Schizosaccharomyces pombe: one gene and its partner. The gene in region 1 interacts genetically with each later gene. Each region holds a gene or a part of one and is shown on either strand. Other genes may lie near its edges.

Region 1 (4,160 bases):
CGAAGCAAATTTTTCAGCAAATGCGGAGAAGTCTTGGCGCAAACTCTCATTTTATTAGATTAAGGTCGAATTACATATCAGCGAAACCTTTAGATACTGACAGATATGATACGTCTTCTATACAGTCATTAAAAAATGCACCTAGAGATTCGATGGAAAGCGAAAGCTTTTGTTCATCTAGTGATGATGCCAAACCGATAACATTTGTGACTAAAAATTTAAGAAAATTTCCAATTCCAGAATGGAGATCATCATTAGAAGTTCAGGCCGAATCCGAACAATCGTGTTTGCCTCTTTATCCTTTACTGCCTGTAGAAGAAGTGGAAGGGATGAAAAAGTTTGTTCAAACAATGTTGTATGATAGTATATATCCTTTTATGCAAAGATGCGTACGGGCCTGGGAAGAAGATCTGACCCCTCAATACGGTAATTTAACTACCAGGCTTCTATTTGCCTCCAAAAAATACTGGTCTCGTAATCATTCAAGCCATTCTCAAGGTAACTATGATCCACTATCCCTTATTTATTCTTCAGAAAAGCAGGAAAGCATAAAAAGAAAAATGGCGGATTTTTCTTTTATGCTTCGTGATTACAAACGTGCTTATGAAATTTATGATGAGATTCGGAATACATTTTCTCAAGACAAAGCCTGGAATTATTTAGCGTCTTGCGAGGAAATCCAAATAATATGTCTGTTAATGCAAAATCGGAATATCAGCTTGAAGTCGCAAATTTCGTATTTGAACAAATGGTTCGACGAAATGGTTTATATCTATGCTGTTCGTCTTCACTCTTTTTACTATACATTTAGAAGTGTGCTAGTTACAAGCTTGTTGCTCTCGTTGAAGCCTGCGTTTAGTATCGACTTTGCAGCATCCTGGCTTGCAAAGATATTGGAACCAGGCCCTATTTCCCTCAATCCGTTTGAAACTTCTTTCTTAAATACGACAATAGCTGGAATGTATAGTAATAAGGAACATGTTGGTGTTACTGATGGAAATCGCCGCAGAAAAGCTGCTTTTTGGTTTGCATATAGCGCTGGCTTTTGGCGGGACTGTGGCCATTGTAAAATGGCAGAGATTTGCTGGAATCTTGCTAATCGTGTGTATTCAAAATCAGGATGGGAATCGCTTTCTGAACATATGCTGGACTTAAAACCAACGCTTTCCGAAAACTTTCGGGTGAAAAATACTTTTCATTAGACAACTCATCCTGTCATCTGGGCAATCTTTGGTACAAGATCTGCTTATGTAGGTGCTAAACTTTCGATTTTGGTTATGAGCTTATTAATTCAAGCGCGATTAATGCGAAGTTGAAAAATTATATTACCGCTTACAGTATCATATTTATATTCAATTAGCTAGTTAATGACTTTAGAAATTAAAACTTCATTTTTTTTTTGTTCACGTTTTTTGAAATGTTGCTTTAGAATTTAGACTGATGTCAATAATTATTTTAAAATAAAAAGTATATATAAAAAATAACTGTGAAATTCAAAGAGTAGAGGTGTAAGCTATAATTTTGAAAGATTTGAAAAAGGAATAGGAGCTGGCATAAAGGAGCTTAGGATTTCCAATTTAAAATGTAGCATTAGCATTATAATTTATTATATCAAAATTATAATTTAGTATCATACTCAATATAACATATATTAGATATATGCGATTTTACATTAGTCAACTTCATACGAAATTGCTGATGTTATTATAACTTGTCTATCTTATCAGTTTTAGAATAAATTGTTCATTGTCTGAATTTTTGAAAACAAATCATCAGCACCTTATTAGAACTCCAAATTTAGCAATTTGTAACATTACAAAAGTACAAGTGACAAGTCACCTCATACCATTAATTCTGTTTGAAAACTGTATATAGTAAACCACGCAGGTAGCTTCAGGAATATACGACAGAATGGGAAAAAAGGAGAAAGTCAATGCTTTGGAATTTTCTGTTAATAAAGGAATTTTTACAAAAACTCGTTTAAAAAGCCTGTATTCTGACTTTACGAGTCTGTTTATAAAAAATCCTGAAGGATTTTTGGCAAACGTAAATACTTGGAGAGAAGCAATTGAAACATCCGCATGGTCTGGGAAGTTGAATTCTAGGATAATCTTAGTTTTCGATGAGACTTTTGAAAGTGCGTTTTCAAGTCCTGCTTTAGGTAGACCTTTGAGCCTTGGTGCTGTTGCGGTACGTGAATTAAGCATTTTTTTTGAAGCTAATAAGCATATAGGCTTACTGGATCCAGCAAGGGGTTTGGCTTCGTAAGCAAGACTTTTTGAACGATTGTAAAAAAGGAAATTTAGTAAGAGAAGACGGTTTTTCTATTTTTTCAATTCTACGGTGGAGTTTTCAGAAACTTGGGTTTCAAAATCAAGCCTCATCCATATTGTCAAATAGATCCCCGAGTGGGCAGTATGTAATTCGAAAAAATATTGAGAAACTTGCTTGCCTTGTACACAATGAAGCAATGCGACGGTGCAGCAGCTATACGAGTGCAATTTATACTTGGGACTTTTTTCAAGATACTTTTGGAAGCTTATACTGGGAAGAAGGAAAATTAAACAAGGATGAGATGGAATGCCTTCTTAATTGGATGTGCTATCAAAAACATGTTTTAATATTTGATTCTAAGGTAAGTTCAGATTATATGTTTTCTCAGCTATTTGTCGATACCGTTTTTTTAACGAGAATAGATAATCAAGTTTTTACCCAACAGCCAAATTGATGCTCAATTAGCTTCAATTGATAAGTCTATTGATGGGTCTGTTGCAGATCTGATACAGGCTAGGGCATCCATCGCCCAAAGATCAGAATTTTTAAACGAGGAATTGGAGCAACTTTCACAAGTGCTAAACCAAGCAGTTAAAAAGGGAGAGAAAACAATAGCAATAACTTATTTACGTCGAAAAAAGATTTTGTCTAAAGATTTGGAAAGGAAAGTTTCTTCGCGTCTGCAATTAGATACTATAATTTCTAATATTGATAATGCGGTTGACAACAAAATTTTGCTTATTGCAATGTCTTCTGGCTCTGAAGCTCTAGACGCAATTTTAGCTCAAATGGGTGGAACTGAAAAAGTGGAAGATGTCTTAGAAAACGTAAATGATACACTGGCTCGTTCGGAAGAGATTGATGCAACTATTCAAACTTACAATCCTCAAAACATTGATTTAGAGGATGAAGCCGTTGAAAAAGAATGGCAGGATTTGGTAGCTGAAGAACAGAAGGTTGAAGATATCGTGTCTACATTAGGCAATGTTTCTCTAAAAACACCATCTGATACTTTTACCCTTACTAATACTGACTCGGATAAAAAGACTTCGAAACCGGAGAAGATTCAAGCTGAGCTGGTTGAGCAATAATTTATATACGTCCTTTTTTAACGATCACTTAAATTCACGGGAAATGGTTTGGTTTACTAATAATTTATGCACATACTAAAGAATAAATGAATACTATAAAAACATTTTTCTTGGTAATAACTATAAAAAACAATAATGCTTATATACTCAATAGAACTTATATAGCTAAAGCGATAAGGTAAAGTACCTGTGTAATGAATTGATGTTAGTTACTAAAAATTTTGCTTTTTATACCTTTAAAAACTAGTAAATTGTTAATTTATTAAATTGATTTCTTGGCAACGACTTAGAAACTTACAGTATATCACATACTCTATAAGTTTATATTATTAGTGTATGACCATAGCTTAACATGAAATACTTTTTTCATAGAATTTAAGTTCTCTAATAACTAAGTGACATTACAATTCTGTTAATATTCTTTGTTTACAAATCAAACAAATAATAAAACATTAGACTTAATAATTATCTAATAGAAGTTTAAATTGGCAATATCTATGCAATATTACAAAGAGCTAGCTAGGCGATTGCATACTCTACAATCAAAAAATGAAAAAGAAGCTCTTGAAAAAGTACCGTTTTTAATTCACTATTTTCAAATTTTAACCAAATATAGCAAATAGACTTTTTGGACAAATTGGTGGTAGAGGTGGACTCGTTGGTTCATGAACAAGATTTGAGGCCATTATTAGAGTTCATTAGCCCTACTGAAAGTTGGTTTTTACTGGGTACGGCGACAATTTTTTATATTAAATTATTAACTCATCCAGACCCTGAATCGATTGATGTAGTGAT
Region 2 (4,110 bases), on another chromosome or scaffold:
CGTTTAGGTGCGCTGGTAACAACAAAAAAGTAACAAACAAAAGGAAAGTCAGCAAAACACATAATAAACCAACATGTAAAAAAGTGTTAGTGCAATTGCTTATGCCCTCAAATTTGTAATTGAGTGTTTATAAAGTTCATTTCCTTATGTGAATATTCGTATTATCAGTTATGACTCGTTGCTCTGCTTGCGACTTAAGTTTGCTACCATGCGTTTTTCTTACAACAATTCAGAGATTATTTTCATGATGATTGCTACCGGGTTGCATGAATTAACAACTTAGTTCAATTGTTTTGCTTTTACGATCAGTTTACCCTCTCTCATATTGCGGCGATAATCTGATATTTCAGAGAATTTTAGTTTTTCAAATTGCGAAAAAAAAAATTTTTCAACCAACTTGTATTTCATTGCTAGTGGTTTATTTCATTGATTGGTGAATGTGGTTTAAAGGGAAACTGAACGTTAATAGATCATTAAAAAAATTTCTGTAAGACCCCCTTTTCTTTATTTTTCCAAGGATTTTTAAAGTATTTGGACGCTTGAATGACTTTCTATTATATTAGAATTTTAAGACTCCAAGAAAAGCTCGAAGAATCCTTTAAATACGCTTTACGAGTGGTTTTTACGATAACTTCTGATCTGGGCGAAGTTTCATATCCGCAAGATGCAACCGTAAGGGTTGAAGCATTGGATAGACAACAATCTCACAGTCGTATCACAATTTCTAAGCAATGTGTTTCATGGATAGGGAATGGTCACGCGGCTGAAACGACTTTGTATTTTCCTGCTAGTCACCAGCAAATTCAATTGACGCTGCATTTAGAAAATCAGAATTCAATCGTTGATTCTATACACATAAATGCCGATACTGTATTACCAGTTTGGAGTGAAGCTTTTTCACCGAAATCTACTTTACCTAATATGGTATGGCGGTATATCCAAGGCCCAGAAAAAAAGTCACCAAACGATGGTCTCTGGTTTCTCGAACAGATGGGTAACAGTATTGCTAAGCACTTGTGGGATGCCGGCGTAGTTTTCTCAAAAAAGATTCTTTCTGATGATTGGCATTATAGCTTTTCCAATAGAAAAGACATCAATGTTTTAGAACTAGGCTCCGGATGTGGAATTGTTGGTATAAGTATTGCTAGCAAATATCCACGTGCTCTTGTGTCAATGACCGATACAGAAGATGCGATTGAATTTATGGAAAAAAATGTTGAAAAGAATAAGTCTGCAATGAGCAACAACATAACTTCTGATATTTTAGTATGGGGACATGACATTCCTCGAAAATTTCGGCGTCATTGGGATTATATTGTTATGTCAGATGTCATGTACAATGAATCTAGCTTTTCTGATTTGGAGGCAAGTCTTCAGGAATTGATGGATAAGAACACAAAGTTATATATTGCGTACAAAAAAAGACATGACAATGAAAAAACTTTTATGAGCAATATATTGGGATGGTTGGATCTTGTTTACGAAGAACGTGGTCCAATCACTATTTACATTTTACAGAAAAAATAAATTTACTTTGCATCATTTTCATTTTTCTCTTAGGATGCGTTGCTGAATCTGTCAACTTGCGAATCTCGTAACTTTTTTGTAGCAGCATGTTTATATTGAGATGTCTTTTCGGGTTCTTATACACAACGGTCTATAAAATTTGTAGCATCGCATAAAACCAATTTTGCATCTAAACTATCAGCGAACTTGGGAACCCATGTAAACTCTGCAAAGTACATTTTCTGTAAAATTGAATTTCGGCTTCCAGCTTTTTTGAATGGTGTTATGACGACTGGCGCGAATTTAATGATTTAGCATATTCTTTGATAAAAAAACAACTCAACATTATATAAAGCAGTTTCCTTTATTTATTCTGCTTTATTTACCCTGTTCTCTGTATGCCTTGAAACTGGCTCGGCTTACGTCATATAGCAGCGCATACCAAGTGTAATACCCATCAAGCATCACGCACCATCCATTCACCCAAACACATAGAAAAATACAATGCAGCCAAGGTTTCTTCTACACGGAGCGCTTTTGGCATTAGGAATACAGCTTTGTCTGTCAATTGGTAAGTGTTGAGTTGCTTTTCTACAGAAACAGCGGCTGACCCGGCATTGTCTAGGCAAGATTACAGGCCACATATCGTCTATTGAAGCGACTGCAGCTGATATACATGATGCGCCTAGTACAACTACGAAGTATGTTCAGCGAACCGTTTACGCCGGTAGAGAAAAGGGGAAAATAGGAGGACCAGCCGATTCTTGGCCTCAACGAAAGCTTGATGACTTTCTCCAAAATCATGGGGTAAAGTCACTGGACGTTCCTCCTATCGAGACTCCTTCACAGTTTTGGAGGAAGCCATTACAGTATGTATCAAAGGTAACCGACAAATGTAAATCTTTCTATGAGAAGGAGAAGAATCATGCTTCTCATAACGCACAAAAATTGGACGTTTGGATTTTCAATTCATGGACCAACTCCGAGCTTTCTCGATGGCTTATTAAGAATAAGTACGAAGTTCCAGAGCCTGGAACCCGAGAGCAGTTGTTGGAAACAGTTTTCCAAGCATCAATGGGCGATGCCATTTCCACCAATGATGAGTTGGAATCCTGGTCAAATAATCTACTCCTTTCTATGTTGGATCAGAAAAACATTACAGTACCAATTGGTGCATCACATGACGACCTAATCGTCTTGGCTAGACGTTATTACGATATTGAGGAAAGAAAATCGCAAGACAAAGTGACAAATATTACAGATAGCCAGCCTGCACCATATATGAAAGAAATTATTCACTTATGGTCAGACGGTAGACTTATTGATTTTTTGCGAGAGCGAAACATTCCTATTTCTGTTCTTTCACCTCGGGAAACTCTTTTGAAAGAAGCATACGCTAACCGCTTCACACCGCGTGTAATGATTGCCTCCAACGTACTAGATGGATGGTCGTCTGAGGACTTATTAGATTGGATTTGGAAGTACAATAAACGTGGTTCCATATTTTCCCATGTTGCTTACAACTCGCGTCATGAACTTATTCATGCTGCTAAATTATTTTATATGGATGTTGCTTCTGAATGGAGCTCTTCTGACATGGCATCGCTAAACGATTCTTTATACTCACATCCTTCTGTCTCCAAACAGTCTACCTGGACCGAAGAAGAACTCAAAGAGGAATTGGAGTCATTTGGCGAACTTGTCCCCGTTCCATTTTCATCTACCAAAGCTTTTGAACGATTACTTCCCCACCTGTATTACTATTTACGAGGTCCTGCCTTTTTGAACAGAATACATTATTGGCAAACATTCCTGGGTAACTCGCTTAAAAGGGCTTTTGTACTTTCGCAGTAAATACCATTTGTGTCGGTAATGTACCATTGAAAATTGACCACTCGAAGTTGGAGCCATGCCTTGTTCATTAACTGTATATTTCTAGTTTATTTTTTTTTGTTGCCATTTATTATAACAGATACTTAACTCAGATTTGCTTTTTTCTCATTTAGTACTAGTTTATTAAAAATAATAAAATGGGTAGTTTTACGGAACAGTTATAATAATCTCTACAAAGTTACTTAGTATGTAAGTTTTTTTTGCAGAATATTAATGAGGTTGAAGATTTCTCATGAAACAAAATCGAATATGATGAGACAAAAAATGTTTTAATATAAACCCTGATCAAAGTTTTTCGTCTTCTGTTGTTACATTGGGGTCGATAAGTTCGCCGTTCTTTACCTCTTCATCACGTTTTGTAGCTTCAATTTCCGAACGCAATTGCTTATATTCTGGGCTATCATTCCCCACTATAGTTAGCCATTTTTATAAATGTTTGATTCAATTTACCTATTTTTATCCCAAAGTGGTTTTGTAGAATAAAACTGAAAGATTAGTATTTTTATTATTTTGAGGGATTGAATTCTCAGCGCTATATTCAAGCTTGGTTTTTTAATTTTTGAATTATACTTACAGCAGATGCAACACCTAATGTGCAAGCAAACAATAAACCCATGGGACCGCCACGACTCCTTCCGCTCATCATGGTGCACTGTAGTCGGAGAGTCCGAATCATAAACTGGGAAATAGAAAGCCATATTGGAAATTATA

Evidence for each region.
Region 2: mutations in cmp7 (region 1) and les1 impair growth when combined (synthetic growth defect), as found in Schizosaccharomyces pombe (one study listed by BioGRID).

Annotation. Positions count from the first base shown.
Region 1 is NC_003423.3:3,896,185-3,900,344, forward strand, and holds cmp7 (ESCRT III complex subunit), read left to right. Parts: upstream 1-1,901; 5' UTR 1,902-1,911; coding exon 1,912-2,190; exon of another isoform or gene 2,191-2,233; coding exon 2,234-2,635; exon of another isoform or gene 2,636-2,696; coding exon 2,697-3,365; 3' UTR 3,366-3,506; downstream 3,507-4,160. Other genes in the region: trs8501 (TRAPP complex subunit Trs85), read left to right, coding at 1-1,202; protein Tti2, read left to right, coding at 3,863-3,937, 3,982-4,160.
Region 2 is NC_003424.3:1,036,083-1,040,192, reverse strand, and holds les1 (nuclear bridge Ish domain protein Les1), read left to right. Parts: upstream 1-1,983; 5' UTR 1,984-2,010; coding exon 2,011-2,077; intron 2,078-2,131; coding exon 2,132-3,360; 3' UTR 3,361-3,554; downstream 3,555-4,110. Other genes in the region: efm6 (methyltransferase), read left to right, coding at 544-1,527; SPOM_SPAC23C4.04C (uncharacterized protein), read right to left, coding at 3,685-3,796, 3,850-4,110. UniProt on the Schizosaccharomyces pombe protein: Inner nuclear envelope protein involved in nuclear fission, which is achieved via local disassembly of nuclear pores within the narrow bridge that links segregating daughter nuclei.